Saccharomyces cerevisiae S288C: one gene and its partners. Changing the gene in region 3 together with the main gene of any one other region gives a genetic interaction. Each region holds a gene or a part of one and is shown on either strand. Other genes may lie near its edges.

Region 1 (6,690 bases), 720 kb from region 3:
TCAACCCTGATAAGACCTTCTTAGAAAGTGAGATTGGCCTTTACGTTGGTTGGACCGAGGGTAGTCAACGGCAGATAACAACGATACCACATAATTCCACGTTGGCGGCATCACTACAAGAGTAGAATGGTTGTGGTGGTAATGGCACAGAAACCTCCATCGCTACGTCCACACTTACGATGAGTGGTATACCTATCGCTACGATAATGAAGCACAGAAAAAGTGTACTTATCATATTACCGCAACTATGTACGTGAGGTGTAAATTATGGCTCTCATAGGACATAAGTAGGACAGAAATTGAAATTTTTGTGTTGGCAGAGCGAAAGAAACTTGAATTCGTTTATGAGGAATAAATTCTCAGCTCCATCCATGGTTCCAGTTGACGCTATGATACGCAAATTCCTTTGTGATACAGGTATCATTTCTGCAATTCCTCGTAGATTGTTGATCATACCATAAGATTGATGCTGGGGAAAGTGGAGAAGCTAACTTAACGATTGAGGCCTTGGCAAACCCTGTTAAACCAGTACTATCGGCCTTAACATGCGACTTAGAGAGAGAGAGAGAGAGAGATGTTTGCGTTTGCGTCATGATAGAGATGCTACATCCACATAGTTGTTGTAGACATGTTTAAAGGTACAATTCTGCAACAACGCCTTGAAATTTTCCAAAACTAACCAAGCACATTGGAGTTACGCTTATATAGTAAGCCACTTCACTTGCGTTGCTGTAAAGGTTGATAACTACAGGTAGGAATTAATGAATGTTAAATAAAAAAGGGAAATACCATCATCTCGACAAGAAAGGCAAAATAACTTTTCAATCTCACCAAGACGCGCGAACGAAACTCGTGCGTCTATATTAGTATCTTGACGGCGCTTTTACATCATTAAAGGTGTAATAAAACTGAAGTCATGCGATGGCACTGAAATAATCAAAGTAACTATTTGTGATGGCATGCACTGTGATATGATCTCAAGGAAAAAAATGCAATGTCGGGCGCCAATACTTATGATCATGCTTAGTCTCGACATTGACCTTGCTTGCTACAGTAATCTGGTGTCCGAGTAGTGACATCTAGGTACCGGTGAGAACTATATCTTCATTACTACACTTGTCGCCCCTGAATATTATCGCTACACACGCGAAAGAGCTCTTGTTAAAGTTACTCTCGCATCATTGCGGTACATGTTTTGCATATTCATCTGAAGTAGGAAAGGGTATAAGCAGTATATGATGTACCATCTGCATAAGCGGTGTTTAATGCGTACCTATCGTTTAAGAACAAAAGGAACACACCCACACCCGCTCCAATACCATATTGAGAGAATAATGAGGTAACATATGCTTCTATTTGGTTCGATAAGACGGCTACTAGTCCAAAAAAAGTCAAACAACAATTTCAACAGCTACATTCTGAAGATAGAACGCATTTTTGCCTGAATATTGCAACTCAATAGACATTCTAAAGTGCTACGAGAAAAAAGCTTGTAATGGACCATGGCAATGTGCGCCATATATATATGCGGCTCCCTTATGAGTAGAAGAAAATATATGACTGGTGGTACAAAGTGGCATGGTGGTATATAGATGTAGGAACACCATTTGAGTTTGCCATAATGATTAAATTTCCCTTTTTATAAAGAATTAGCCGCCCATAACACGAAAAATATCACAGTTGACGAAAGAAGACACGTCGCCTAAACGCGTAATGAATCGCAATATACGAAAAGCTAAACGGGTTTTTCAGAATCCTCTTACCCAGCCTTGGATAATAGTTTTGGCCGAAAAAAAAAAAAAGAAAGAAAAAAATTGAAATTTCGCGATCCGAACAAACAATGAACAGAAAAACAGAATATATATAACGCTGCCAAGCCTATTTCTTGTTGCCGATTAATTGTTGACATCCTCTTAATTACCAAAAGAGCCTAAGAAAACAAACACACTAACCACACAGTATCTTTCGCCCGAATGTCTGAATTGAAAACAGGTCATGCAGGCCATAACCCTTGGGCTTCAGTTGCCAATTCCGGTCCGATCTCTATTTTATCCTACTGTGGTTCCTCTATTTTAATGACGGTGACTAACAAGTTCGTCGTCAATTTGAAGGATTTCAACATGAACTTTGTCATGCTTTTCGTGCAATCTTTGGTTTGTACTATAACCTTGATTATCCTACGTATACTGGGCTATGCGAAGTTCCGTTCATTAAACAAAACAGACGCCAAGAACTGGTTCCCTATTTCCTTTTTACTGGTCTTGATGATCTACACCTCTTCGAAGGCTTTACAATACTTGGCTGTTCCAATTTACACCATTTTCAAGAATTTGACTATTATCTTGATTGCTTATGGTGAGGTTCTCTTTTTTGGTGGCTCTGTCACCTCCATGGAATTGTCATCATTTTTGTTGATGGTCCTTTCTTCTGTCGTTGCAACTTGGGGTGACCAGCAAGCTGTGGCTGCCAAGGCTGCTTCATTGGCTGAAGGAGCAGCCGGTGCTGTTGCCTCCTTTAACCCAGGTTATTTCTGGATGTTCACCAACTGTATCACTTCTGCATTATTCGTTCTTATAATGAGAAAGAGAATTAAGTTAACTAACTTCAAGGATTTCGACACTATGTTTTACAACAATGTTTTGGCTCTACCTATTCTATTGCTGTTTTCTTTCTGTGTGGAAGATTGGTCTTCAGTTAATTTGACCAATAACTTTTCTAACGATTCGCTAACTGCTATGATCATCAGTGGTGTTGCATCCGTCGGTATTTCTTACTGTTCCGGTTGGTGTGTTCGTGTTACTTCGTCTACTACATATTCGATGGTAGGGGCTTTGAACAAGCTGCCAATTGCCTTGTCTGGTTTGATTTTCTTTGATGCTCCAAGAAACTTCTTATCTATTCTCTCCATTTTTATTGGTTTCCTATCAGGTATTATTTATGCTGTTGCCAAACAAAAGAAGCAACAAGCCCAACCTTTACGTAAATGAGAACTTACGGGGGGTGCAATTTATTTTTTTTTTTTGGTTTATTTTATTTTATAGAGGCATCTAATGCAAGTAGATTTATATACAATTATACTTAAAATTGATATACCTTAGAACAGGTCGGACACAACGTGTGGTAACTCCAATATATCACTAATGACAATAGCGCCTTCTGGTGTTTGCCCCAAAATTTCATTTACTTCATTCTCAACTAAATGAATACATGTTTTCATGCCCAATTTGATACCTGTCTCGATGTTTTTCCCACTGTCATCTATAAAATAAGCATTCTCGTATCTTGCCAACCCGCTTTCCTTCATGGCTTTTTCAAATGCTTTAACATGTGGTTTGCAGACCAGCGTATCTGTCCTAGAGTAGTCACAATATGTCAATCCATCAAATAAATCCGCTATACCCAACAATCTCAGGCAACGTATTGCGTGGTTTTTATAAGCGTTGGTGAAAAGCCACAATTTATCAATCTTTCCCGATTGTCTCAATCTCAACAGCATATTCCTTAATGGTATATCAGGTTTCAAGATATCTTGTAGTGGTAAGGAATCATCCACAAGCCGGTTATATTCCAGTGCGTTCACTTTGTGGAACATTACAAGTCCCCTTATGGCAAGTCCATACTCTTTGTAGTAAGAGTTATTCAAAACGTGAGCATCTTCAGGTGATAGTTTCAAGTGTGTTTGAAAGAACCTCAGTATAGATTGTTGCATAAGATCGTGAATTCTCGTGGATGATTTATAGAGACAGTTGTCGATATCAAAAAAGAAAACTTTTAAGTTCGGGTTTTGAGGTGTAGCAGAAATATCTTGATCGATCGGAAATGTCACTTTCGAACCTGGATGAGTCAATGATTCAAGATGTGCTTTATTCTTGGCAATTTGTTCGTTCACCTCATTCTGATAGGTTGCCAAATCGGATGCAGTATATTCAACAGTCATGAAGCCTAGTAATGATTCGGTCCAAGAGCTTACTCATGTATTCCGAAATTAATTCAGGTGAAATGGGGGAGTAATATGATATCAAGAAGGCGATCACTTATTGAAGTCCACATAGATACACACAGATAAACATATATATATTATGTATATATATATATATATATATATATATATATATATGTATATATCAACGCCCATACCATTATCATTATCAATAAGTTTGCGAGGCGGGTACCCTCCCTCGTGCTATTATATTACTGTTGCCTTAATTGAGTAATTTGATCGATGACTAATTGCAAGAGATTGTGATTGTTGTACGAAGTTATAAAATCATCCACAACACTCGTTGAGTTTTCCAGTGGTGAAGGTAAGCGGGATGAGATCTGAGTCTTAAACTCTTGCAATTGAGTAATCAATTTATTTCTCAAATCTGTCAGTGTCTCTTGAGGGCATTTATACAATTCTAAGTTTTGTAGGATTTCAATCGTAGGCTGCACCGTTTGATAAATTTGCAACGTGGTATCATTGGTTAAACCTTTTGAATAGAATACCGCTGTATCAATATATTGTTTCAATGCATCATCATCAAGTGGAGATACAGTGCCATCATTGAGGTTCGTATCATTATCATGGAAGATATCTAATTTATGAAGAGTTTCAGGCTCCTTAAGCTTGGCTCTCAAAGTAGAGAGTGTATCCAAATGTGTGTTTATTTCTTTCACGGTTCTCCGAATGAGATGGTCTCTAAAGGTGGACGAATTCACAAAATCGACAACAATCGCGTCCTTATATTGCTGATTGGAGTGATATTGATGATCTTTGCTGTTGGCACTTGATATCAGTAACGCTTGAACGTTATCGTTAAATAGTGTCTCGAATAGGGATTCATTGAATATAGAAAGTAAATCATCGTCCCACTTCGAGGAAAACTCCGTGTTTAGTAAATTGTATAGTTTTACCCACTGTAGTAAAGTTAAGTTTAATGTCTTCATAGAGTCCACCAAGAACTTCTGTAGTCGACAACATTTGTCCTTGACAAGCGCTTCAAATTTGGAAGGAACTGGTATCAAAGATAATTCGTGGAAATTCAACAGTAGCTCGTCGAATATCCGCGACGGAGTAGTGGAAGTAACTATACGATTACAGAAGTTGTTGATGGAGATGGTCCAATTTGAAATTACTAAAATGTTTTGCGATGGTATGCTGACTTTTTCTTCGTCACGAGGTGGTGATATATGGGTAGTGGTTTGGTATGGTAGTGGAGTTAACTTATTCAACTGAAATTTTTCATCATTGAAACACAGGGATTTAAAATCTTGATCAACATTTTTCAAATTGAGCGACAAGTCATTAACAGAATCGGTCAAGCTTAAGATCTTGTTATAGTTCTTTAGCAAATTCTTTTGGAAGGCCTCATTGGTTTTAGTCAAATCGTTCTGTAACTCCAATTGATAATCTTTAATCTGTGGAATATGAGAATCGCGAAACAATGGTAAGACTTCATCCATTTTCTATCGTATTGGTTTTTTTTAGGTTTTCTACCACAAGATTTGTTGTACGAATGTGTTATTTATTATTCACCGCCATGTTTCATTTTTCTTCAGCATAATGATGAACTGTAACAGAAAATAGGAAAAAAAAATTGTCATCTGAGAAATTGCTTTGGATGACCAGATCCAAAACAGACATAAGCATTCGTATAATTGGTACATAGGTATATATCAAATAAAAATATGCATTATTCTAAAAAAAAAAAAAAAAAAAAAAAAAAAAAAATCAAAAATGTCTCTCTAAAGGGTGATTATAAAAAACTTGGTTTGGGCAAGTTTTTAGCCTCCCTTGGACCATTAGTGGCGAAAGTGGAGCCTGCATAAGAGTGACTGAGTTTTTTGGCACTGCCATTACAACCCATTGGTATTATCCCTTGAGAGCCATGCGGGGATTGTTTCTGGTTCAGAAGCAGATTCTTTAGGTTCTGACTCAGTAAACGAGTATCATCTTTGTTGTTCTGTCGTGGCGTTTCTTTATTATTCTGTCTGTTTTTTTTACCTAAAGTAGTTGTAGAGGAAGGGGAAGAAGGTGGAGAGTGCTTCTTTTGATTAAATGATGGTTTCTTGTTGGAAGAATGGCCGAAGTTAGGTTTCTGACCGTTAGGAAGAGTTTGAGGAGGTGGTATATCTGTGATATAGTTGTTATTATTGGCGTTCTTAGCAGCATTTCCCCTCGCACGATTATTTCTAGTTTTTTGTTTGATTAGATTATTTGTCTTGTTCCTGCCAGCCGATGGCAACAGCCTGGAGCTGTTGAAATACATGGTATCCGTCGACATGCCTTGTAATATTTGTGTGAGTATATTTGTGTGCTAAGTGTAATTACGTTACGCTTTGCTGAGTACTTCGTCTTCAATACAGAGTATGTTATTGTCCTTGTTATTTGAAGACTTTTACCTTTTCTATCCGTATTTCTCTATCCGATACAACAACATCATTTTACACGAACAGCCGGATGATAAAACTGTAGTACGTATGGTATTTGTGATATCCTATATAGCCATATAATTACTAGCAGCTATGCAACAGTCAAAGGATCGCAATCCATTTTGCTTACGACTACTTCGTGGCCCTCATCTTGCAACAAGCCCTTCATAACGTCTTGAAGGAATCCACGCTCAGTATTTGAGTGGTTGCAAACAATAACGGTCTTGCCCATTTCTTTCCACTTCAGTACTTCATGATGTGACATTTCTCCCGTAT
Region 2 (10,207 bases), on a different chromosome or scaffold from region 3:
CTACATATATAAAGGGAAGGGTTTGGAATATTTTACCGATAAGTACTCCTCTAGAGAAACAAAAAGGGGGTTATTAAACTTCATTCTTCTTTAAACTTTTCAGCGACTTCTAAAACCTCCTTTTTGGCGTCATTTACACTAACTTCTGGTGATATCTTAACTCTTTTGAATTTTAACTTCCCATCAACAAAAATGAAATGCGATCTAATAGAACCAGAAAGTGGCGTTTTTTTGGCTCCTAGCAACCCAATAAACTCTCTCTTTGGATCGCTTAGTAAATGATATGGCAAATTTTGTTTACTCTGAAACTTTTTCTGGGATGTCACAGAATCTGCACTCAGTCCAAAGACAGCAGCATATTTCTTGAGTTCCTGGTAATTGTCACGAAATCCACAGGCCTGTCTAGTACAACCAGGCGTGCTTGCCCTGGGATACACAAAAAACACCACAACTCTGTTATTTTCGGTGATTTTCTTCAAGGAGATAGAGTCATTATCTTCATTTAAAAGACTCAAATCAGGAATAGGATCGCCTATCTCTAATTCGTTAACATCAGATGACCTATTTGCCTCTTGAACTACTGCTTGATTAGCGTTATGTTTAGGACCCGTCTTGATTTTCTTCTTAGGCACTTCCGGTGTCGAAATAGGGGCCAGTTTGGACTCTTCCTCTTCCAACATTCTTTTGGATATTGCAATCCTGGTTGATCTACGTAGTGCTTCACCCATTCTATTAAGGAACTTTAATATTACCTGTATAAAGCTCGTAGTATTACTTCATCCAGTGGATGTAATAACAATGATATTTCTCTTCCCTTTTCTATATCTTTTTTTTCTCGACGGCTGCTACATGGCACAGCCGTCTGTGGATTTCATGCTCTTGCTCGAACATTCCTTTTTTTAATGTACAGCCAAGTGTACATTACAAGAGTAAAGAAAAAAGTGTGAAGAGAAAGCAAATTAAGTTTGTATTATCTAGGAGACAGTATATTAAAATAGGATACTAATATTCAAAAAGTGTATATTTGTTTTTTTACATATAACATTTTATAATTTATCATTAATAAGTGACAATCATAAGAGCATAGCAGCGGCACCGGCAATAGCGGCACCAACACCAGCGGAGAAGAAGCCCATGTCCATAGCTGCACCAGCGTTCTTGGAGGTAGCAGAGGAGGAGCTATTAGTAGATTTTTCTGCAGAAGAGGAGGCCTTTGCAGAAGAGGAAGCTGCAGAAGAGGCCTTGGAAGAAGCAGATGAAGCAGCAGATGAAGCAGCAGAAGAGCCAGAAGACTTGGCAGAGCTAGAAGACTTAGCAGCTTCAGAAGCAGAAGAGGAGGCAGCAGAAGAAGATTCTGAAGCAGAGGAAGAAGCAGCTGAAGAGGATTCAGAAGCAGAAGAGGAGGCAGCTGAAGAGGATTCAGAAGCAGAAGAAGAAGCAGCTGAAGAGGATTCAGAAGCAGAAGAAGCGTCTGAGGAAGCAGTGGCAGATTCGGAACCAGATTCGGAAACGGTTTGACCTAAGGAGGTAATACTGATACCCGCGCTTTGTAAAGCAGCGATGATTTCAGGTTCCAGTCTAGAAGAGTACCAAGGCACTTGAACCATGGCAGTGGTGATTTGAGCAAAGTCCATTTCGGTGAAATAACTGGTGTAGGAATCATCAGTAGCAGTGGTCATATGTTGGTAAACATCCAAAACACCAGATGGTAGGGTAAAGTCTGGATTATTCATTGCCAAGGACATATATTGTTCCAAATTGGCCTTGACATCAGCCAAAATAGCGTCAAATTCGACGATTTCATATTGTCCAACTTCAGCAGAAACCAATTGAGTGGAGGCAGCGGCAACAGCTAATAAGGCAGCGATTTTAGTGAAAGACATTGTTGTGTGTGGGCGGTTGAACAATTGGATCTGGGGAACACTAAAAAGAAAAAATCAAACAACCAGCAAGAAAATCTGCAGTAGAGAAAGGAAGAGGAGACGAAACGCTTATACTCTCCACCAAAGAATATATGTATATATATATTCATATGTACGTATACTGCCTTCTCAGACGGAAATCTGCAATCCATTCTAGGGCCTTCTAAAAAAAAGCCTACAGAAATCATGGTAAACAGGAACAATGGGTCGCCTTAAGGCACGCATATCTAAGAAACGTGTGCAGAAGCGGTAGGGTACACGTTCCTATCGTTCCATTTGGAGTCTACACACGTTTCCAACCTCTGCCTTCAGTCACAGTTTCTGAGTAACCTCGCTTACAAAAGAAATTTTTTTTCCCGCAAGGCGAAGTACGCCTCGTATAAGGCCAATGTCTCGTATGGGTGATGTAGGGCAGAAGCCAATGTCTCGTTCAAATGAAATAATGAGCTAATTAGGCTCCAAGTTTTACCACCTATCTGACGATTCTCTCTCTGCGTATAAGAAAAATGTTGAAAAAGCAACATTTTGCGCCAGGAAAAAAGCCCAATCATGGAAGTGGTGCAATACACATTCCAACTTACACACCGAGATTCTCCTGTCGTTATATTTCCACTTTGACGCCCCTTTATGCATCTTACTAATATTAGCTGTTCGAAGTACAGCTTACCTAGGCACATGTACTTTATCTCTCGAATTTTCCTGCTCAGTTTCTCCTACTCAAGTCTCTCCTAGTCTCTAAGGGAAGGCACCGTCTAGGACAGTGCCGGGCATCCTTTATGCAAGGGATATCCCCCCGCAGCCTTCTCCGTCCGTTTTCGTTTAGGCACTTCGCACAGAATTCACCGCAGAGAAGCGCCACATAGACGGCCACTTTTGTTTCCTACAACTTCCACTCTATCGTTTGGGGCCCGTGCCTTCGACTTTTACTCCATTGTGCTGCGGTTTTTGTTTGGCCTCGAACTTTTCCTGTCTGCGGATCTCCTGGTTTGGAAACAAGCTTTCCTCCATAGGCAAAATGGATACTACGGTACGAAGTATTTTCCGCAGATCCTGCTCTCACCTATATAAAACAACATACAACATCGTAAAGCTCTCTGCTCTTTTAGCTATTAATAGTATTATCACACACTTAAACCCTTTTCTCATTAGTTCGTAAACGGGTTGGTAAAAAGAACTTGCATACTGTAGCAAAAAAATTCACAACTAAACACGATAGAGTAAAATTAGAGAAGCAACGCCTCGCGGATGTCTCTTTCCAAATATTTTAATCCAATTCCTGACGCTTCAGTCACCTTTGATGGGGCTACCGTTCAATTGGAAGAATCCCTCGGTGCTGTTCAGAACGATGAAGAGTCCGCATCGGAATTCAAAAACGTAGGCCATTTAGAAATTAGTGATATCACTTTTCGTGCTAATGAAGGTGAAGTCGTCTTAGTACTGGGAAACCCAACATCAGCGCTCTTCAAAGGTCTATTCCATGGTCACAAGCATCTGAAATACTCGCCTGAAGGGTCTATTAGATTCAAAGACAATGAGTACAAACAGTTTGCTTCCAAATGCCCCCATCAGATCATTTATAATAACGAACAAGATATTCACTTCCCGTATCTGACGGTGGAGCAAACCATTGATTTTGCGTTGAGTTGTAAGTTTCACATTCCCAAGCAAGAGCGTATTGAAATGAGAGACGAGTTATTAAAAGAGTTCGGACTGTCGCACGTAAAGAAGACGTATGTGGGTAATGACTACGTTCGTGGTGTTTCTGGAGGTGAAAGGAAACGTATCTCCATTATAGAAACGTTTATTGCCAATGGGTCTGTTTACTTATGGGACAACTCGACGAAGGGTTTGGACTCTGCCACCGCCCTAGAATTTCTTTCCATTACCCAAAAGATGGCAAAAGCTACAAGATCGGTGAATTTTGTTAAAATTTCTCAAGCAAGCGACAAAATTGTCAGCAAGTTTGACAAGATTCTTATGTTAGGTGATTCCTTCCAGGTGTTTTACGGAACCATGGAGGAGTGTTTAACCCATTTTCATGACACCTTACAGATAAAAAAAAACCCTAACGATTGTATTATTGAATATTTAACATCAATCTTAAATTTTAAGTTCAAGGAAACGTCTAATTCCATTGTTGGTCTTGACACTCCATCTGTTGTTTCTGAAGAAAATCAAGCTTTAAACATCAATAATGAAACAGATTTGCATACATTATGGATTCAGTCTCCATACTATAAACACTGGAAGGCCATCACTTCAAAAACAGTGCAAGAATGCACCAGAAAAGATGTTAATCCGGATGATATCTCCCCCATTTTTAGTATTCCGCTAAAGACGCAACTGAAAACGTGCACTGTAAGAGCTTTCGAAAGAATCATTGGTGACAGAAACTACTTGATTTCTCAATTTGTTTCTGTTGTGGTGCAGTCTTTGGTTATTGGGTCCCTTTTTTATAACATTCCCCTGACAACAATTGGTTCGTTTTCTAGAGGATCTTTAACTTTCTTTTCCATCCTATTCTTTACATTTCTTTCTCTCGCCGACATGCCTGCTTCCTTTCAAAGGCAACCCGTCGTTCGTAAACATGTCCAGCTCCATTTTTATTATAATTGGGTGGAAACTTTAGCAACAAATTTTTTCGATTGCTGCTCTAAATTTATACTGGTGGTTATTTTTACAATCATACTTTACTTTTTGGCCCATTTACAGTACAATGCAGCTAGGTTTTTCATCTTTTTGCTTTTCCTTTCCGTCTATAATTTTTGCATGGTGTCACTATTTGCATTAACTGCTTTGATCGCTCCAACTCTATCAATGGCAAACCTATTGGCCGGTATCTTACTGTTAGCCATTGCCATGTACGCGTCCTATGTTATTTATATGAAAGATATGCATCCATGGTTCATATGGATTGCATATTTGAATCCTGCTATGTTTGCCATGGAAGCCATTTTGAGTAACGAATTGTTTAACCTGAAACTAGACTGTCATGAAAGTATTATTCCCAGAGGTGAATATTATGACAATATTTCATTCAGTCATAAAGCTTGTGCCTGGCAAGGCGCTACCCTAGGTAACGATTACGTCAGAGGCCGTGATTATTTAAAAAGTGGATTGAAATACACTTACCATCACGTGTGGAGAAATTTCGGTATTATCATTGGGTTTCTGTGTTTCTTCCTATTTTGCTCTTTACTAGCAGCGGAATATATCACGCCTCTGTTTACTAGAGAAAATTTATTGCGCTGGAATAACTATCTCAAAAGATACTGTCCCTTTCTGAATAGCCAAAAAAAGAATAATAAAAGCGCTATTACCAACAACGATGGCGTATGTACTCCCAAGACCCCGATAGCCAATTTTTCCACTTCATCCTCTTCTGTTCCATCAGTCTCGCATCAATACGATACTGATTACAATATTAAACATCCAGATGAAACTGTTAACAATCATACTAAGGAATCCGTAGCTATGGAAACGCAAAAGCACGTCATCTCCTGGAAAAATATCAATTATACCATTGGAGACAAAAAATTGATCAACGACGCTTCTGGATATATAAGTTCCGGATTAACTGCCCTAATGGGTGAATCTGGTGCTGGTAAGACAACTTTGTTGAATGTCTTGTCTCAAAGGACCGAAAGCGGGGTTGTTACCGGTGAATTATTAATCGATGGACAGCCCTTAACGAATATTGATGCATTCAGAAGAAGTATAGGGTTCGTTCAACAGCAAGATGTTCATTTAGAGCTCTTAACTGTGAGAGAGTCTTTGGAAATTTCCTGCGTCCTAAGAGGTGATGGGGATAGAGACTATTTAGGAGTTGTTAGCAACCTATTAAGATTGCCTTCGGAAAAACTGGTTGCTGATTTATCTCCAACTCAAAGAAAATTATTATCTATTGGTGTTGAATTGGTCACTAAGCCTTCTCTGTTGTTATTCCTAGATGAACCTACTTCAGGGCTAGACGCCGAAGCAGCTTTAACCATCGTGCAATTTCTGAAAAAGCTTTCGATGCAAGGTCAGGCTATCTTATGTACTATTCATCAGCCTAGCAAAAGTGTCATCAGCTATTTTGATAACATCTATTTACTAAAAAGAGGTGGTGAGTGTGTCTATTTTGGTTCATTACCTAATGCCTGTGACTATTTTGTAGCTCACGATAGACGCCTAACATTTGACAGAGAAATGGATAATCCGGCTGATTTCGTTATTGACGTTGTTGGTAGCGGAAGTACAAATATTCCAATGGATGATGCAGAGAAGCCAACCTCAAGCAAAATTGATGAGCCAGTATCTTACCATAAGCAATCTGATTCAATTAACTGGGCAGAACTCTGGCAATCCTCTCCAGAAAAAGTGCGGGTTGCTGATGATTTGCTTTTATTAGAAGAAGAAGCCCGGAAATCTGGTGTTGATTTCACTACGTCCGTATGGAGTCCGCCTTCGTATATGGAACAAATAAAGTTAATCACAAAGAGACAGTACATTTGTACCAAGAGAGACATGACCTATGTTTTCGCTAAATATGCTTTGAATGCTGGCGCTGGACTATTCATTGGATTTTCATTTTGGAGGACAAAGCATAATATCAACGGTCTGCAAGATGCTATTTTCTTGTGCTTCATGATGCTTTGTGTTTCCTCCCCTTTGATCAATCAGGTTCAAGATAAGGCTTTGCAATCTAAAGAAGTATATATCGCCAGGGAAGCGAGATCTAATACTTATCATTGGACCGTTCTTTTGATTGCTCAAACTATTGTTGAATTACCATTAGCCATTTCCAGTTCTACCTTATTTTTCCTGTGTTGCTACTTCTGTTGCGGTTTCGAAACCTCTGCCCGTGTAGCTGGTGTCTTTTACTTGAATTATATTTTATTTTCCATGTATTATTTGTCATTTGGGTTGTGGCTTCTATATTCTGCCCCCGATTTACAAACTGCCGCTGTCTTTGTTGCCTTCCTCTATAGTTTCACAGCTTCATTCTGTGGCGTTATGCAACCATACTCGTTATTCCCAAGATTTTGGACATTCATGTACAGGGTTTCACCATACACGTATTTCATTGAAACTTTCGTAAGCTTACTTCTCCATGACAGAGAAGTAAACTGCTCGACAAGTGAAATGGTACCAAGCCAACCTGTAATGGGTCAAACCTGCGGTCAGTTTATGAAACCCTTTATTGATGAATTTGGTGGGAAACTGCACATCAATAACACATACACCGTCTGCGCCTACTGCATGTACACTGTTGGGGATGACTTCCTTGCTCAAGAAAATATGAGTTATCATCACAGATGGAGAAATTTTGGTTTTGAATGGGTTTTCGTTTGCTTTAACATTGCCGCCATGTTTGTGGGCTTCTACCTAACCTACATCAAAAAAATTTGGCCTTCTGTGATTGATGGTATAAAGAAGTGTATCCCATCAATGAGGCGGTCCAAAACATCTCATAATCCAAACGAACAAAGCGTATAATCAGTGAATAGCGTTCCGTTAGAAAACATTCAAAATTACCTAATACTATTCAACAGTTCTTGTTCCTCATCCGGCTGCCTTCTGCTTTAAACTAATTGTTAATTTATTCCCAAATCATATTCTAAATTAATCTATAATCATTTTTCGGATTATATATGCTCCATACTTAATAAATATTAATACTCTCATTTCCTTTTCACTTTTTTTTTTCTCAATTAGCATTCCAGGTTCGAGAAATATCATTGATATATCGTAATTCCTTTTCAGTAAACGTGATTAGACGACCTTCGTCAAGTTCAGAGTTTGTGTGTCCGTCACCCGTAGCATATGCACAATACATATAATTAGAACATTCCTTGATTTGCATCCATGGATGAACAGAAACGTCAGGAACGATTAGTCCCTCTACGTTCAACGAAGCATCATATATCCTTTTTAATTTTGAAATGTCCCCATATCTACTCTTAAAATACTCTGGCTCTCTTCCAAAGTCATCTTCAGCACTGTTCGAAATTTTACAAGTCTTCAGTCCACCGTTTACCCATAGTAATCGATTTTTGGAGTCACTGTGTGCAATCTGCGTAGAACAAATGTAGTACATCCCGCTTTTATGTCCGTCATCATTTTCAGGCTCTTCATTAACAGGTCCAATAATACTGCCATCAACGGGATTGATAGAATAATCCTGGCCAGCATATAATTGCCCCAACCAGAATATTTCCTTGTCACCATACACACACCTCTGCAATTTTCCATCCAAATTTAACATAAAAGACATCAACAATCCATTTAATTTCTCAAGTTTATTGACTACAACCAAACCACTATCAACATGATGGAGTCGTAATTTTTTGAAAAAATTGTAATACACAGATGCTTCTTCTGAGGTTTCGGAAGAAAACGGTAATGACGAATCAAAAACTAACCTACTTCCAATAAATCTGCGTTCTTGTGCAGAGGGTTCCACTTCATTTAACATTTCGATGCAGTATTGGAAAGTTTGCTCGTTTTCCATAACCCTATCCTTGAACAAAAGTATCCCGCTCTCCCTGTAAGAAGGAGAGTCGAAAAAGTAATCAGACCCTACAAACGGTACTACGTCTGCATCCAACAAAATGTATTCTTCAAATGTGTTGAACAAAGTGGCGACCCATTTATTCTGAAAAAAAGAAATGTATGTATTAGCAAAATTAGTGTCAAGCACTGTCGAGCAGTCTACTAAGTAGACCCTTTGTTCCGTTTCTTTAGCGGTCTCAGAAATTTTAGCAATAGACTCTGCTGATAGTTCATTTCCCGTGGATACTATTTGGAATGGTAATTCGTTTTTTGAAAATTCCATCACTTTCAACTGTTTCAAAAATAAAGGAACATCCTTTTCAGCAATAGTTAAAACAAAACCTCTTCCTTTGCTCAACCTATTCCAGTTGGACCAAAAGTTACCATTAAAGTTTGATGATTCCATATCAACCTCGGGTGCCGGAACTGCCTCTCCAGTTGTCATGTCTGTGATAATAGGCCACATTACAGTTTTGGATTCCTCGTTAATTTTCTTCAGAAATGGAAACATTCTGTTTTGCAAATCATGAGGATTTACGGTTGAATTTGCAAATATTGCAGTAGGATCTAATTGACCAGATAAAAAGCAATAATCATAAGATCTTAATCTTTCCCCTAACAATGAGGCCAACGTGTTATCTACACCATCAACATTATAAAATTTTGCAGTTTGCGCATTGTCCCAGTCGGGATCAATCTTGTATAGTACTTCAAAAATGTAACGGCACTTGTCACTCTTCGCTATTTCATTATTTCCTAATTGCCTCAACAATACACGTTCTTTGTGAGAACTTCTACTCAAAAAGGGCAAAAAGTAGGCAGATAATCTGTTCATTAAGTTTTCGGATCTCACTTGGTGTTGTCGTTTTTCAATCCAATTGAATGCAGATGATTCAACAGCTGTCCTCTCGCTTGCATGGTTGTTTAATTTATTGGATGATGTAACATTCCGACTGGCAGAGAAAATGAGATAAGAAAAGAATAAAGAGAGCAGCAGTGTTACTAATCGTTTTAAGATTAGTCTTCTGGATTTTAATGATTTAAGCATGCTTAGGGAAATAGTTTTAGTAGACTGTCTTTAATTCCTTAACACCCCTCCTCGTACTCATGTGATGGAGAAAGGAATTTGATCAGTTCCAGAGGCACAATTTAAGTACTAAGACAAACAATGATACCAAATTAAAGAGTAGATTATTGCCACTTTTTGCGTGTAAATCAGAATAATTCCTCTTCAAAATTTTTTTAGACGAGATCATTAAGGTAATTTGCATTGTCGATACTTCTTCATTCTTCCGTATTTGAAAAAGATTCTCTTTCAAAGAAAAAAAATTGCTTCCAATCGGATTTGAACCGATGATCTCCACATTACTAGTGTGGCGCCTTACCAACTTGGCCATAGAAGCTCGTATTTTACGGTAGATGAGATTATCGCATAAAGGATATCATTTAAAATGTGGTTGCAAACAGCTTCCAAACATTTACTCGACTGCTTCTTACAAGTAGCTATGCACAAATTATGTACTATTTTAATGAGACAACAGAGCTAAAGGCAGAAAGTAGAAAAAAGTTCAAAAATTGAAGTTTAAGGCCTGTTTTATTTAACAGTCTGTTTTTCTGAAAAGAAATGGACATTGACATGAACTATCCCAGTATAACTACTTTGATGAGTAATGAATCAGCAAACTTATTGATTATTTGGGGGAATGCCACGCCTGATATTAGCTATCTATCTTATACAACTAACCCAA
Region 3 (6,491 bases):
GAAAATTCTCGTAATTGTGCTAATTTGAACTCAACGTCTTCAGGTGTTATTATTTTATTTTTACTTAAACTCCCCATCATATTCTTTTCATCTTCAGTTTGTAGGGTATACTTGAAACGCTTATTTATTAGTCGTTTTGAAAATAGAAAGGAAAGTTGAAATGGGAAACACAGCACATTATTCTTGGGGCCACATCTGGCCATGTACATGTTTATATTTATCTATCTGTTAGGACTTGTGAAACAATGCTATTTTCCTGTGCACTATGGACTATGGCTTTGCTTTTACATTTTATGCCTCCAATTTTTCACAATCCTGTCCGACGCTCAGATATTGGTGTGGAAGTAGAGCTAACTCTCTATCTCAGAAAAAAGGTTAGAGCAAGGCAGATCTTTTGCAATAAGAATCAGTTACCATCGATCGATTTGAATTCATATTACTAGTACTTTGCAATACACTGTGTAAGAAGATGTCATAAAGATTGAGAAACGGTCATCAAACTTAATGTAAGCAGAGACACGAGGATTGATGATGAAGTAAGATAATGTGCGACAAGGAAGAAAAAATAATAGCATTATGTAGAGATATCGATTCCCTTTTGTGGGCGCTATGTTCTGGAGGAGAGTTTCTAGTATATTCCTTATCCATAATGTTATATGTGATCTTTATCAACAGTGGAATCCCAACAATAATGCAATTATTCACCCATTTTTCACAAGCAAGCAAGCATTATGAGAGAAGAACGAATGTACAGTCATTTAGATGATAAGATTGGAAGTAGGTCATGATAGTCAGGATTATGTAAAGACACTTGGTGTAACCCTGTATCGGCTGATTTATAATATCGAGAAAGATAATATAAGAAGCGCCTGAGAGTCAGTGGATCGATTATCGAAAATAGAATAGAGACGTTCACGGAGACCCACTGAATGTTTCGTATTAAAGGAGGGATGACTACTAAACCATTTTCACCGCTACTGGTGGCCATTTTGTATTCTTCCATTTACAAGAATTGCTCCCGACTTTTGTTCCATCAGTGGACGATAGACCATTGTCAAACACAGTAATTCTATTTTATTCTTGAGATGAGATGCCGCAATATGACCTGATATGAATCACCCTAAATGTCCGATCTAAACAAATAAAAGGCGTGCGAAACAGCCTCACGACGAGATATGAAGTCGAAAACATCGGCCTAATTTCTGTGCTTTTTAGAAGACTACTCAGATTTTCAATATCAATACAGTGAGTTAGATCTCAGGTTGAGAAGAAACACTTTGATTTTACTAGATAGGAAAGAAAAATGGACTAATTAATCAATCATTTTGTCATCGTTGAAACTTGATAACGCACGCTAAACGATAACGACTATGTTGGAGGGAAAACATTAACGATTACTCTTTTAAGTAATTGCGAAGTATATCTGAGACTAAAGACCCTCTGAATTAATTATATCAATCAACATAAACTATAAGAAACTACAGTGTGAGCTTTAGTTACGAGAGTGTGGATCTGTTCATTTAATATTTTTTATACGTAACGCAGCATCTACCGTAAAATCCCATAGATTGCGGGCACATGGCGCAGTTGGTAGCGCGCTTCCCTTGCAAGGAAGAGGTCATCGGTTCGATTCCGGTTGCGTCCATATTTTTAACATTTCATTTTTTTTGGGTTTAAATTTATTTTCAAACATTATTAATTGATTTCTTTAAAAACTTATACAACGTATGCTAATACTTTAAACTAAACCTTTTAGAACTATAATAAAACTATTTCAAGTAAAGTCTTTTTATCTGATATCTTGATTCATTTATAATAAAATTAAGTGACTATAGAATAGTGCAAGTGGAAGCGTTTTTCTTCTTTTTCTTTTGTTGTGAAGTAGCGCTAATTCCTGTCCTGTTGCTAGAACCAGATTTCGGAACGGCATGTGACGGTTTGTGCTTTTCATTAACCGGAGTAGATTGTTTAACTTTAGCTTGTCCTTGTGAAGATTTGTTATATAAACCTTTTGATGATTGCTTATTGTTTGATTGTTTCGTATCCTGTTTCGCAGAACTAGGGAGCCTGGTTGATGGAGACTCGATTTTGCTAAATTGTTGACTTTGATTTCTTGCGTCTTTAACTGCAACACTTTCCATTTCATTCCGAATGATTTGCCTAACTAAATCAACGAACACTTCATCCACATTGCTCCTCAACAAAGCGCTTGTTTCATAAAAGGGAACTCTACCCCATTTACTGCTTACCTCTATACCTTCTTCCACACTTATTACCCTTTCATTGATTAGATCAGCCTTGTTACCTATTAGAACCATTGGAACGCGATCGGAATCTTTGATCCTAAGGACCTGTTCTCTTAGCTCCATTAATTCTTCCAAAGATTGCCGATCTGTTACTGAATATACCAACAGGAACCCCATTCCTGACTTTATGTATAATTCTCTCATTGCAGTAAATTGTGCTATACCCGCTGTATCTAAAATTTCCAGGTCGAATACCTTGTTATCGATCTCGATGGTTTTCCTGTAAGAATCTTCGATCGTTGGATCATACGTATCCAAATAAACTCCCTGTACAAACTGCACGGTTAAGCAGGATTTACCGACACCACCAGCACCCAATACTACTAATTTATAGTCTCTCATTAGTCCTAATGTTTCCTAGCCAAATATTTCTAAGCGATGATAGAAGCCAAAATATTAGAACGTTGTATGTAAATGTTCTATATCGTTACTAAATAATAGTATTATTGTTCAGTGGAGAGGATGAAATTTCAAAAACTTCTTGGCGTAGTTAAGAACGAACGCAATGGTTCTTTTTTTCGAGATCGAGCTCTACTTTACTTTTTTCTTTTTCTGTCCTTCTCTCTTTTCTTTTTAACCTTTTTCGACGATATTTCGCGTTTGAGAATGTCGAGGATGAATGCGCTTTGACGCGAATTAGTTGTGAGGCTGACGTTGTGATAAAAAGGCGATGATTCTTGGGAATATACAGTCTGTTTCCACTTGCTAGATAAAATGTATGATATTCCAAAAATGCCTTTCTCTATTGAACTGTATGACTGAGATACGCCTGCTTTTACCTTGTATATTATGAGTACTATTCGCCTTTTCCCATAAAGTTGTTTTTTTCTGGGGTTTATGTGTATCGTAAATGGTACAAAATAATAAAATTCTTATCTTGAAAATACTGTTTAATACTTTTCATCATTACTAAATAGGTTACGAAAAGAGGTCTTTGAGAAATGGGAAAGGCCTGTTTGAATAAAGAAGTCGGCACTTACGAATGTGAGGGGGAAAGAGATACCTACTCATTTTTTACCTCTCTCTCAGATATACAGGATTCAAGTAGTAACGAGGAACAATGCGGTGTAGGAAGTATATTGAGTGAAGATAGTTTCACGTTTGAAGGGTCCAACGTGAGCATACGGTTATTTTCCTTGGACTTAAATGCCTTGAATGAAAATGAGAATGGATCCAAGAATCCTGTGAAATTTACCATTCCGCCAAAAATAGAACAAAGAAAGGAAGCAAGACAAAGAGAGAAACGTTTAAGGAGGGTGGCAGTACTACCTGAGAATTCGAGAAACTACCTTGTTGAATCAAGTATGGATTCAAGTAGGGAATACAGTCAACCATTTTTTGACTGGAGGCATGAAATGGTAGAACATGGAGAGGAGAGTGTAAAACCGTGTGGTTGTCATAAATCGAGAAAAGCAAAATGCTTCAAAGAACTGGAGATGGAGAATATAGAAAAGGGCGATATAAAGAAGAGTCTCTTTTACAGAGACATAATTGAATGGTGCAGAGACTATGAAGTCAATAAAACTAGGGAAGTCTGTGTTCCGTCTATACACGAGTTTTACCTACATGGAAATGGAAGTGACAACCTCTTTTGAAGTATAGCCATGCATATAAATATATGTGTGTGTAAGAAAATATTAGAAGTTTTCATAATCTAGAAATGTCAGGCTTTGGGCCTAATGGCACTATACCAAACTGATTGATCTTGTTCCTACTTACTTCCATCCTGATGTAAAAGAGCTTAATATGATTAAAATCTGTAGTAAATCTAAACTCTGCGTAATTCCAGTATAGATTAATCAACCACAAATGAAGGTACGGGAAACCATCCCTTATAGTTTTCAAATTGCATTTGAAGTGCTGCACGTACACGACGTCAAATCTAATTATTGATGGATACAATCTGATATCCGCTTCAGTTAACCTCTGTCCTAAAACAAAATATTTAGCCAAGATTTTCTGTTTGTTACCACTGAATTGCTCCTCTAAGCGCTTATAATTTTCTTTTAGTACACATTCCATCTTCTGCAAGTTTTCAAACAGTGTTTTTACTTCAGTTTCGTAAATCTTTCCGTTTTCTGCTAATCCGACTTTATAGACACCAAGATTAATCTTCGGATGAACCCATTTGATGTTCTTATCAATCTCGTCTATTAAATCATGCGGAACTAGATCAATCACGTTCGTTTCTTCGCTTTGGATAAATTCATCAAACACGCCACTGTTCAAAATTCTTATGATATCGCCACTCTCATTGTTAACAATTTTCCTTGTTTTAGAATCCCACAGAACAGGCACAGTGAACTTTGTACCGGGGTACTTAGGATCATTTAAGTAGTACAACTCGCTTAACCTTGATATATTTTCCACCGGGTCGAAAGCGCCATCCACGAACAACCTTGCAGAGTCATTGTTCACATCACCTAACTCCTCAGATTCGTCTAATTTAGCTGAAGCAATGCCACCAGTGGCAGTAAAGAATCTCTCTTTATATTTTTCCGGCCGGTGTGGAGCAGGTAAGAAACGGGCACCCTTGGAGTCTAATTGCCAGTGAGATAACACAAGCCCTAGAACAGGTTCTAATTTCTTCAAAGACCTGGCAAGAATGGCTCTATGAGTGAATGGACACCCAAGGGCCCCGTAAATATAATACCTTCCTTTTTCTGGTTTAAAAACAGAATGTGTCTTAGAAATTGTTCCCTTGTAAGATACTGACATGGCTTACTGTTTATGATTATTTTTACGAGTATTTTCCTCTATAAGTGGCCATCTCTCCAATTGGCAAAGTCAAGACTTTTGTTATGTCAATATGTGCTACCAAAAATCAAGGGTATTTTCCCACCAGAGCTTATCAATGGCAACTGTGAGATATGAACAGCAGTTAGTAAGGGTGTGTTCTCATCCGACCCTCTGATTCATTTGGTGGCCATTACATTTTCCCTCAATGACACATTCCCCTATTTCATAACTGATTAAAATGGTAATGGCACGTGATAGTAGTGGCTCACAAAACAAAATTTTCTTTCTCAGCGCTGACAAAGCTTCATTTGCATTCTAACCTTATCACAACAACTTCAACTTCACCCAAGTAAGGATAATCAGCTCTGTCGTGACTGATAAATGCTATATCCGGCATATGCAGTCCACACGGCATTACCGTTTCACTAATTTATTGCCATCTTCCTCCACAGTTTTGCACCGAAAGGAAAAAAAGAAACCAACACCGAAAATTTTTTTCTCCTAAAGGTTAAAGTAAACGCAAGGCACTTCACCAGGCTTGTATATATAAATGTCGTGATGCTTCTATGCCAAAGTAAAAGGCAACACTTGAAGATTTCGTTGTAGGCCACTTGCTCAAAGGACATCTAGATAAATACGACGTAAGAATAAAAATGACTAAATCTGAGCAGCAAGCCGATTCAAGACATAACGTTATCGACTTAGTTGGTAACACCCCATTGATCGCACTGAAAAAATTGCCTAAGGCTTTGGGTATCAAACCACAAATTTATGCTAAGCTGGAACTATACAATCCAGGTGGTTCCATCAAAGACAGAATTGCCAAGTCTATGGTGGAAGAAGCTGAAGCTTCCGGTAGAATTCATCCTTCCAGATCTACTCTGATCGAACCTACTTCTGGTAACACCGGTATCGGTCTAGCTTTAATCGGCGCCATCAAAGGTTACAGAACTATCATCACCTTGCCGGAAAAAATGTCTAACGAGAAAGTTTCTGTCCTAAAGGCTCTGGGTGCTGAAATCATCAGAACTCCAACTGCTGCTGCCTGGGATTCTCCAGAATCACATATTGGTGTTGCTAAGAAGTTGGAAAAAGAGATTCCTGGTGCTGTTATACTTGACCAATATAACAATATGATGAACCCAGAAGCTCATTACTTTGGTACTGGTCGCGAAATCCAAAGACAGCTAGAAGACTTGAATTTATTTGATAATCTACGCGCTGTTGTTGCTGGTGCTGGTACTGGTGGGACTATTAGCGGTATTTCCAAGTACTTGAAAGAACAGAATGATAAGATCCAAATCGTTGGTGCTGACCCATTCGGTTCAATTTTAGCCCAACCTGAAAACTTGAATAAGACTGATATCACTGACTACAAAGTTGAGGGTATTGGTTATGATTTTGTTCCTCAGGTTTTGGACAGAAAATTAATTGATGTTTGGTATA
Region 4 (8,692 bases), on a different chromosome or scaffold from region 3:
ATCATTTTTACGGCAAGGAATAGTTTTCTCGAATTTTTAACAGGAGTCAAGTTCAATTCCTTTATTAGTTTCCATAAATGGATCGGTAGAATCATGGTCTTAAACGCAACGATACATTCGCTTTCTTATTCATTATTCGCAATTATCAACCATGCCTTCAAAATAAGCAACAAACAGCTCTATTGGAAGTTTGGTATTGCATCCATAACAGTGCTTTGCGTTCTACTAGTTCTATCGCTCGGAATAGTAAGGAAAAGACATTACGAATTTTTCCTGTACACCCACATCATACTAGCCCTTTTGTTCTTTTACTGTTGTTGGCAACACGTCAAAATTTTCAACGGTTGGAAAGAATGGATAGTGGTATCCTTGCTCATTTGGGGGCTGGAAAAGCTTTTCAGAATATGGAACATTTTGCAGTTTAGATTTCCGAAAGCAACACTAATCAATTTGAACACCAGCAACAACCCGCACGATGAAATGTTTAAAGTAATCATACCCAAATATAACCGGAGATGGCATTCGAAACCGGGTCAATATTGTTTCATTTATTTTTTACATCCATTGGTATTTTGGCAATGCCATCCATTTACCATTATCGACGAAGGTGAGAAGTGTGTTTTAGTGATCAAACCTAAAAGTGGTCTCACTAGATTCATTTATAACCATATTTTGCAATCTTTAAATGGTAAATTACAACTCCGAGTGGCCATTGAGGGACCTTATGGGCCCAGTAATCTTCACCTCGATAAATTCGACCATTTGCTGTTACTAAGTGGAGGAACAGGCTTGCCTGGTCCATTAGATCATGCCATTAAGCTGTCACGAAACCCTGATAAACCCAAGAGTATAGATTTGATCATGGCGATCAAAAATCCTTCTTTTCTTAACGGCTATAAATCCGAGATACTAGAGCTAAAAAATAGCCGATCCCACGTCAACGTGCAGGTTTACCTTACACAGAAAACAGCTGTTACAAAGGCAGCAAACGCACGAGACCAATTAATACATTTTGATGATATAATGACCGAACTGACAAGCTTCGCCCACATCGGCAATGCAAGACCTAATTTTAGCAATGTAATTGAAAACGCAATAAAAAGTACGCCGCCTGGAGATTCATTAGCGGTCGTGTGCTGCGGCCCTCCTGTTCTGGTGGACGATGTTAGAAACACCGTTTCTCAAAAACTCCTCGGTTACCCAGAGAGAATTATAGAGTATTTCGAGGAATATCAGTGTTGGTAAATCTTCTCTCCGGCTCCTTCTGATCCTACGCCCACCTATATCTACATATATCTACGGCACTAAAAACTTTTATGTACCGCATAAAAGGTGCTCTTTAGCAACTATTTTTAGTTAATTATTTGCGTTTTAGCTTTCAGGAATTTGCTTGCTAAGACGATGTCTAATAAATCCGGTACTTCTTTACTTGCAATTAATTACTAAGCGGCGCCTGAATTTTTCCGGCTTGATGCCGAGCAAAAATTAACTCTAAATCCCTTTCTGGGAACGAGTCTTTGAAGTTCTACGGTCTTTTGTCTCAGGAAAATATGTCCCGAGAAAGATGGAATAAGTATGGATTTTGTCCTTAACCAGTGGAGGTGGCGCTGCAGTCCTTCTTTTCAGACCCAAGCAAACAGACCAAAGGACATTTTTTTGGAAAATGTTAAGAATCAACCCTCCGAAATCTTTTCACGGCTCAAATTACTGCGGCCTTTTTCTGCTTCTTAAAAATGGGAGCATGATTATTTAATTAGCATTGCATCTGCGTGCACCGTAACTACTACAGTACTTTTACTGCCGCTGAGACGACAGCACGATCTGTTTTAACGTCGTAGGTGTATTTTTTTTTTTCCCGCTAAAAGAGCACCGCCATAATAATGACTTACCTCCTCCAATCCTTCTAGATGTTTTTCTTTAAACTCCTACAGTGAATTAGATTATTGCAAGTGCAAATTAAAAAAAAACCTAAAAAAAAAAAAGAAGGAAATAGTTTTTGTCCATACCGGACTATGGCTTTCATTAACGAATTAGAGCGCCGCTGTTATCCTTTTATTAACTTTTTATCGTGAATCATATCTGCCCCTCTCTCGGTTGATAGTATAAATATGTTGGTTTTAGTAGCTTATTAGTGTGCGCATGTCTTTTTTCTTGTTCCTGGCTATTACAATTCCTGAAAATATTCAAAAGCGACACTAGCCTACCTTAGTTATACTATGTCTAACGAATCTAACGACCTTGAAAAAAACATTTCGCACTTGGACCCGACCGGTGTTGACAATGCTTATATTCCACCTGAACAGCCGGAAACGAAGCATTCGCGTTTTAATATTGACAGAGATACCTTAAGAAACCACTTTATCGCTGCTGTGGGTGAGTTTTGCGGTACCTTCATGTTTTTATGGTGTGCTTACGTCATTTGTAATGTCGCTAACCATGATGTGGCTTTGACAACCGAGCCTGAGGGCTCTCATCCAGGTCAATTGATCATGATTGCCCTTGGTTTCGGTTTCTCTGTGATGTTTTCTATCTGGTGTTTCTGGTGGGGCTTTGAACCCAGCCGTTTCTCTCTCTTTGTGTTTGGCCAGAGCCATCTCACCAGCCAGATGTGTAGTGATGTGGTTTCCTCAGATCATTGCTGGGATGGCTGCTGGTGGTGCCGCTAGTGCTATGACTCCAGGCAAGGTTCTCTTTACTAATGCTTTGGGTTTAGGCTGTTCCAGATCTAGGGGGTTGTTTTTGGAAATGTTTGGTACTGCTGTGTTGTGTTTAACAGTTTTGATGACTGCTGTTGAAAAACGTGAAACTAACTTTATGGCTGCGCTTCCAATTGGTATTTCTTTATTCATGGCTCACATGGCTTTGACCGGTTACACTGGTACCGGTGTCAACCCTGCAAGATCTCTGGGTGCCGCCGTTGCTGCCAGATATTTCCCTCATTACCACTGGATCTACTGGATTAGCCCACTTTTGGGTGCCTTCTTAGCCTGGTCAGTGTGGCAATTATTACAAATCCTTGATTACACTACATACGTTAATGCCGAAAAGGCGGCAGGTCAAAAGAAGGAAGACTGAGAGTAGTCTGCTCAGAATTTTATCTTTTTTGGCATAACGCTCCCATCGTAGTTTAATTTAATTTAATTTAATTTAATATAATAATATCTTATTTTTCATATTTACTGTCCTTTATTTTTTTTTTGTTTTTATCTCTTCTGGTCAGAGTTCTGTTTTTACGTAAGCGGCAGAAGTATGCATTCTTCACATTTTTTCCTCCTAAAGGCAACATTGAGGCCAAACTTTGGAAACAAAGATGATGTGAAGTAATTATTTACCCATCAGAAATCTATGACAAGATAAGTGTACTGCACTGGATATGAGCATTGCATCTCAGAAAAAGGTTAAGCCATCGTTTGTTTGCTTGCGGTGTAAGCAAAGGAAAATCAAATGTGATAAACTTTGGCCTACTTGCTCCAAATGCAAGGCCTCATCCTCGATTTGTAGCTACGAAGTGGAACCAGGACGGATTAACAAATCTCCCACTATCGAAAATGCCCCACATAGAGACATTAGAAACATTACTCCTGCATCGATGTCCGCAAGTGGTTCCTTTACTTCCATACTTAATCCAAGTACTAAAGACTGGGAAATGAAAAATTTTGCCATGAATTTATCGAATGCACACGACAAGCTTGTTGTAATGAATAACACAACCATCGTTGATAGTCCTTTTGCCTTCCATAGCATTCTTCAACATGATTTGTATGCGAAGGCCTTGACCACCTGCATACATGAGAGGATACTGATTGATGTCGAACGCCATCGTGAAAACGTTTCTGCCAACAATAAAAAAAGAGAACTTAACTTAACAATCGGTGATATTGGACCTTTGTTTTTTATTGATAAAGCTGCACTTAAATTTATTGAAAATACCTCAAAAACAAGCAAATTGTATCCTCCAATAGATTTTCTGTATAACACGTATGATTATGAACAAGCGCATCCTGAAGAAAATAATGATAAAATTTCCATAAACATCCTTTTGGAAGAGTTATCCAAATATTTCCTCAATAAGAATGAGGTTGATGGCTTAATCGTGGACTTTTACAAAACAATATATCCGGTCTATCCGTTACTGGAAATATCATTATTCGAAGATAACATAAGGGAGCTGTTGCAATTGAATGAATTTAATGGGTATAACATTGTATTTGCGGGCAAAGACTCTAGAAGAAAACTGGAGACAATAACACTGCTAACTATCATATTGGCTTTTTCTTACAGACGTTTGAGTCTAAGTACTAGTCATTCATTTAAAGAATCTTTTGGTGTAAAATCGAATAATTTAACGCTACTCGCTCATAAACTTCTTGCTCTCATGAACGTTTTTCAATATGTTAATGAACATACACTTTGTTGTCTGCTCTATTTTTTCATATTGCGGTATTTGAATCCAGATCAAGCTGACATGTATCCTACTCACAGTGACATACTAAACCTAAAATTTTTGGAGAATGTAGCAATAAAGCTAGGACTGAATGAAGAACCCTTCCAATACACTCGATACGTCAGCGAATCGGACGATTATCCAAGATTATTCAATTTAAGAAGGAAATTATGGCTTGGCGTGCAATTTTTGAAGTTTGGAATATTGATTCCAGAAGGAGATTCTGACATTCTAAGTTTGGAATATTTAAGATCCTTTATGAAAACTGACGAATCTCTACCAGAACTATTTGAGAGAAATTACGCTTCTACTAATAATCTAGACTTATCGTTGATGGCTACAGCAGAGAATATCTATCATTTACATTTATCTTTACAGGTATTACTGACTTCTTGTTTTCCAATAAATGGCCCTTCCTACTTGAAGGAAGTATTGGATAACATCGACAAGACAAAAGATTTTTTAAATCAGAAATTCCCTCTCATTTTAAGTTCTCTTGGAGAACCAAGGATGAAGAGCTTACATATCAATGTTCCCTCTTCCTTAGCAAATGAAGAATCTTTTGACTTTAGCACTTTTGAGGAAAATGAAACATTCATAGCTAATGTGATTAGCTACACTTGTACAATGAACATCTATGATAGCTTATCTTTGCATTTTGAAAATCAATGTTTCAAAAACGCTTTGGAGTACAAAACATATTATCACCGCTTTACTTTTACCGCTATACAAGATTATTTAACGTTGCTAAAATTAATCTCGGAATACTTTAATGGATCTCTTCTGCATTTACGGGAACCTTTTGGGTTTGCCACTCAGAAAGTTGTTCGCTTTTCGATACATCGATTACTCATATTCCAGGCCACCTTGCTCGTGAGATTATTTTATAAGAAGGATACATGCGACAGATCCTCTGCAGCCATGGGAATGTTGAATGATAGAAACGGAAGACTTAGTCGAGTCATTGAAAAAATGATCAAGTTGATGTCATATCATATGAAATTACTTGTAGAAATTGTTATCTCGAAACTGGAAAAGAGTTATCTCGGTTCGTTCATTTCTGTCTCTATTTTCAGGTATATCATTTATTTGGTGGATACTGACGCGCTGTCTGCGTTTATATCCGACTACTGGAAGAGTGACGCCGTTATGGATGAAAGATATTCAAGAATCCATAGGATTGTCGGTTTAAAATGGGGTATGGGAAGGGATAAGTCCTTTTCGTTCACATCAAAATTAAACAATCCACAATTCTTGGGAAGTCTTGATTTGGAGATTTTGGAAGAATTAGAAAAACTCATTTCCGCACAAGAATTTTCCAGAAACTTCACTGAAGATGTTGACGAATCTTTACAGAGTGAAATTGACCTCATGAATTATGACAATGAAGCCTTGAATCAACTAATGGCAATTGATCTTGATAAGCTACTTGGAATTTTCCCTAACCTGAGTAACTTTTGAGGGGAATACAAATTTGAAAGATACGAGGAGAAAGTTAGTAAACTAATGCTACTTTTAGTCTTCTATTTTTTTCGCAAGCACGATCATATAATCAATACCACACAAAGATTTTTGGTAGCTACGGTCCTAAGAAAATTAAATTCCCTCTCTAATCTGGGTGAGACCGGAATCGCATCAGGTCTTATTAATATGGGGTCAATTTGAAGAATTCAAACTATTTTTTAAACTGTTGTGACAATTCTTTAGCACAAAGAGTTCAATTTTGAAAATCTACCAATGTATATAATTTTTGCCGTTGTATTAGACAGGTTGTGCTCACTGTATATAGTCTCATTTAATAAATTTTTTTTTTTGAAGTGCAAATACCCTCAGTTGACATTCCAAGAACTATGGTTACCCACGAAAAACATCAATATGTTTTGAATTGTTATGTAAATTATCATTTACAAATTTTCTGGGCATATTGCATACCGAGGTATGTAATTTCAGCAAACTCGAGTGCTGCTTTCCATCCATACGGACAACTCAAGAACAAATGGGTACAATATAGTTGTCATTATTATGGCAAAAATATTGAGGGTTCAAAGGTTTTGCGTATTTTAACCACAGGCTAGAGGGGTTACTAGTCTCTGTCTTATAAAATGTTAGATTATAAAGTACAGAGAACAAATATCTACATGTTTTTTATGCTAAATTTGAAAGTTTAGGTGATTTATTTAAGAAAAACTAATCTTTAATGGACTTTTACCGGCTGTTTTGAAGAAATTGTCAAGAAATTCCTCTATAAATTTATTCAATTATCTATTATTTTCTAAGCAGTAAGCTATTTACCATTGTAAATGATTCTTTGGGAAATTGTGCCTTTCAAAGAGACACAGTTCCTCTTTCTTGCAGCCGGAAAGTTTAAAAAATTAATTTTCTAATTATTAAGTGTCAGATAGAACATTTACACAACAAAACATCAATATTTACAAAGGATATATAAAAGTTTCGTTTTCTAAATCAGTCAAATCAAAGACTGCCAAATTGTTCTCGTGGGTTACCACTTTCCCTTCTTCAATGGAAGAAGGATTTTCGCTTTCAATGAGTTGAATTCTGTCCAAATAATTTTGTAAATTTTCGTCATAATTTTTTAGTCTTTGATTATTCCTTCTTTTTAGTATGAAATGGATCAGTAACAAAATGGCTGGTGCAAGAGAGAATGATAAAACGATTTGAACAATCCAGGCAGGTAAAAAGCGAGGAGAGTCCTTCTCTCTCCATATTTGTGGTGATATGATATTAGCAATTCCCATCGCAAATAAGGACACCGAACTTCTTGTGAGTTTTTTGGTGTACCCAGATGCACTTGAACTTGCCCAGCTAAGAGCTATAATAAAAGGAATACCAAATATTTGTCCTGCCATACAGATATTTGCTAAGATACCAATCTTATTGTCCCATGGTAAAGCAGCTGCAGCGATGGATCCCACCAATGCTGGTAAAGTCCAAAAGATGGCTGTTAAAGCTGAAATATTTTTCCATTTTGCTAACATCAACGTAGCGATGAAGGCACAAACGACGGCGAAACCAGCACCGGCAACTGATACCAATGTCGAACCTAGAGCATCAACTCCACCCATTCCTTCAAATAGCAGGTTCTGTTGATAGGGCAGATTGTTGGCTAACTGTTGAAGAAGAAAAAACAATCCAAATAACCAGGTTATATAATCTTTCATTGCCTCTCTGAATTGACTCTTTTTGAAGACTTTTTGTTCAATGGAAGAGCCTGTGGATGCCTGAACTCTCCTGATAATCCATACCCTTTCTTGTATTGAAAAGAATTTCACATCAGCAGGATTATTAGGAAACCACAGAATTACAACAACCGTCATGATAAAAGTCAAACCACCAATGATGATAGTGAATATTTTCCATAACGAAATGCTGGGATTTGTTATATGAAGAACACCATAAGCAATAAACCCAGTTGGAATTGGAGACCCCATACATGCTGCAAAGAAAAATGGCTGAGCAGCAGCTCTTTCTGAAGCATCGAAGAACATACCCATAGTGGTAATTAATATCGGGATAACAACACTCTCTGTTAGCCCCAAGAAAAATCTCAACGCAACGACACCGGAAAAGTTGTATGCGGTACAACTTAGGAAAATAAGTATAGTCCATGTGGCCAACAACCCACCCAAGAATTTCCCAAGTGGTAACTTTTGAGCCAAGTATTGTCCAGGAAATTGGCCGATTGCAAAACCAACGTAAAACAGCGTATTTACAGTATTGTAAGTATTTTGGGTAAGACCTGTATCTTCAAAGAAGCCTAGAATCGAATCATAGGATAAAGTGGCTTTGTCCATGTAAAGTAAAAGGTTAATGGCAGAGACAAAGGTGAATATTGTGAGAAAAAGCTTTCTCTTTAATTTTTTTTCTTGTTCAGGCGTGATTTCTGGAACTGCTGCGTCATTCTCCTCCATGAATGCTAGCGTAACATCAGCGAGTCTCGAAGGAACTAGGATTTCATCAGAAGAGGAGATCGAGTCTGCTCCAATTTTTACGTCAACTTTTGACATTTCTTTTTTGTTATATTTTCTTTTTTATTTTCTCTTGATGTTTTGTTCAACCTTCAAGAAGTGCAACCTGAATAGCTAAATGTCGAATCAATCGTCTGTTTAAGTACTTTGATTTTTCCGACCTCTTCAATTCAACAGGTACGCATTTTTAACAATACCTATTCATCTTGACGTCCAGTTCCTAGGGACCTGCGAAATGTTTTAGCTATCTACATATTACATC

The links.
Region 1: mutations in YGR153W (region 3) and SDT1 together harm fitness more than expected from each alone (negative genetic interaction), as found in Saccharomyces cerevisiae (one large-scale study listed by BioGRID).
Region 2: mutations in YGR153W (region 3) and PDR11 together harm fitness more than expected from each alone (negative genetic interaction), as found in Saccharomyces cerevisiae (one large-scale study listed by BioGRID).
Region 4: mutations in YGR153W (region 3) and YLL054C together harm fitness more than expected from each alone (negative genetic interaction), as found in Saccharomyces cerevisiae (one large-scale study listed by BioGRID).

The regions. Positions count from the first base shown.
Region 1 is NC_001139.9:74,921-81,610, forward strand, and holds SDT1 (nucleotidase), read right to left. Parts: upstream 3,938-6,690; coding exon 3,095-3,937; downstream 1-3,094. Other genes in the region: VRG4 (GDP-mannose transporter), read left to right, coding at 1,974-2,987; Golgi transport complex subunit COG1, read right to left, coding at 4,192-5,445; EDC1 (Edc1p), read right to left, coding at 5,739-6,266; NIF3 (uncharacterized protein), read right to left, coding at 6,506-6,690. UniProt on the Saccharomyces cerevisiae protein: Could be an enzyme that inactivates 6-azauracil by modifying it.
Region 2 is NC_001141.2:325,403-335,609, reverse strand, and holds PDR11 (ATP-binding cassette multidrug transporter PDR11), read left to right. Parts: upstream 1-3,167; coding exon 3,168-7,403; downstream 7,404-10,207. Other genes in the region: thioredoxin peroxidase DOT5, read right to left, coding at 81-728; TIR3 (Tir3p), read right to left, coding at 1,074-1,883; YIL012W (uncharacterized protein), read right to left, coding at 2,258-2,599; alpha-1,3-mannosyltransferase MNT3, read right to left, coding at 7,615-9,507; YIL014C-A (uncharacterized protein), read left to right, coding at 10,084-10,207. UniProt on the Saccharomyces cerevisiae protein: Transporter involved in the uptake of sterol.
Region 3 is NC_001139.9:792,845-799,335, forward strand, and holds YGR153W (uncharacterized protein), read left to right. Parts: upstream 1-3,247; coding exon 3,248-3,901; downstream 3,902-6,491. Other genes in the region: CCM1 (Ccm1p), read right to left, coding at 1-209; Ras family GTPase RSR1, read right to left, coding at 1,830-2,648; GTO1 (omega-class glutathione transferase), read right to left, coding at 3,954-5,024; cystathionine beta-synthase CYS4, read left to right, coding at 5,699-6,491.
Region 4 is NC_001144.5:29,886-38,577, reverse strand, and holds YLL054C (uncharacterized protein), read left to right. Parts: upstream 1-3,373; coding exon 3,374-5,905; downstream 5,906-8,692. Other genes in the region: FRE6 (putative ferric-chelate reductase), read left to right, coding at 1-1,245; AQY2 (Aqy2p), read left to right, coding at 2,217-2,666; YLL053C (uncharacterized protein), read left to right, coding at 2,617-3,075; YCT1 (Yct1p), read right to left, coding at 6,874-8,469. UniProt on the Saccharomyces cerevisiae protein: Required for growth on non-fermentable carbon sources.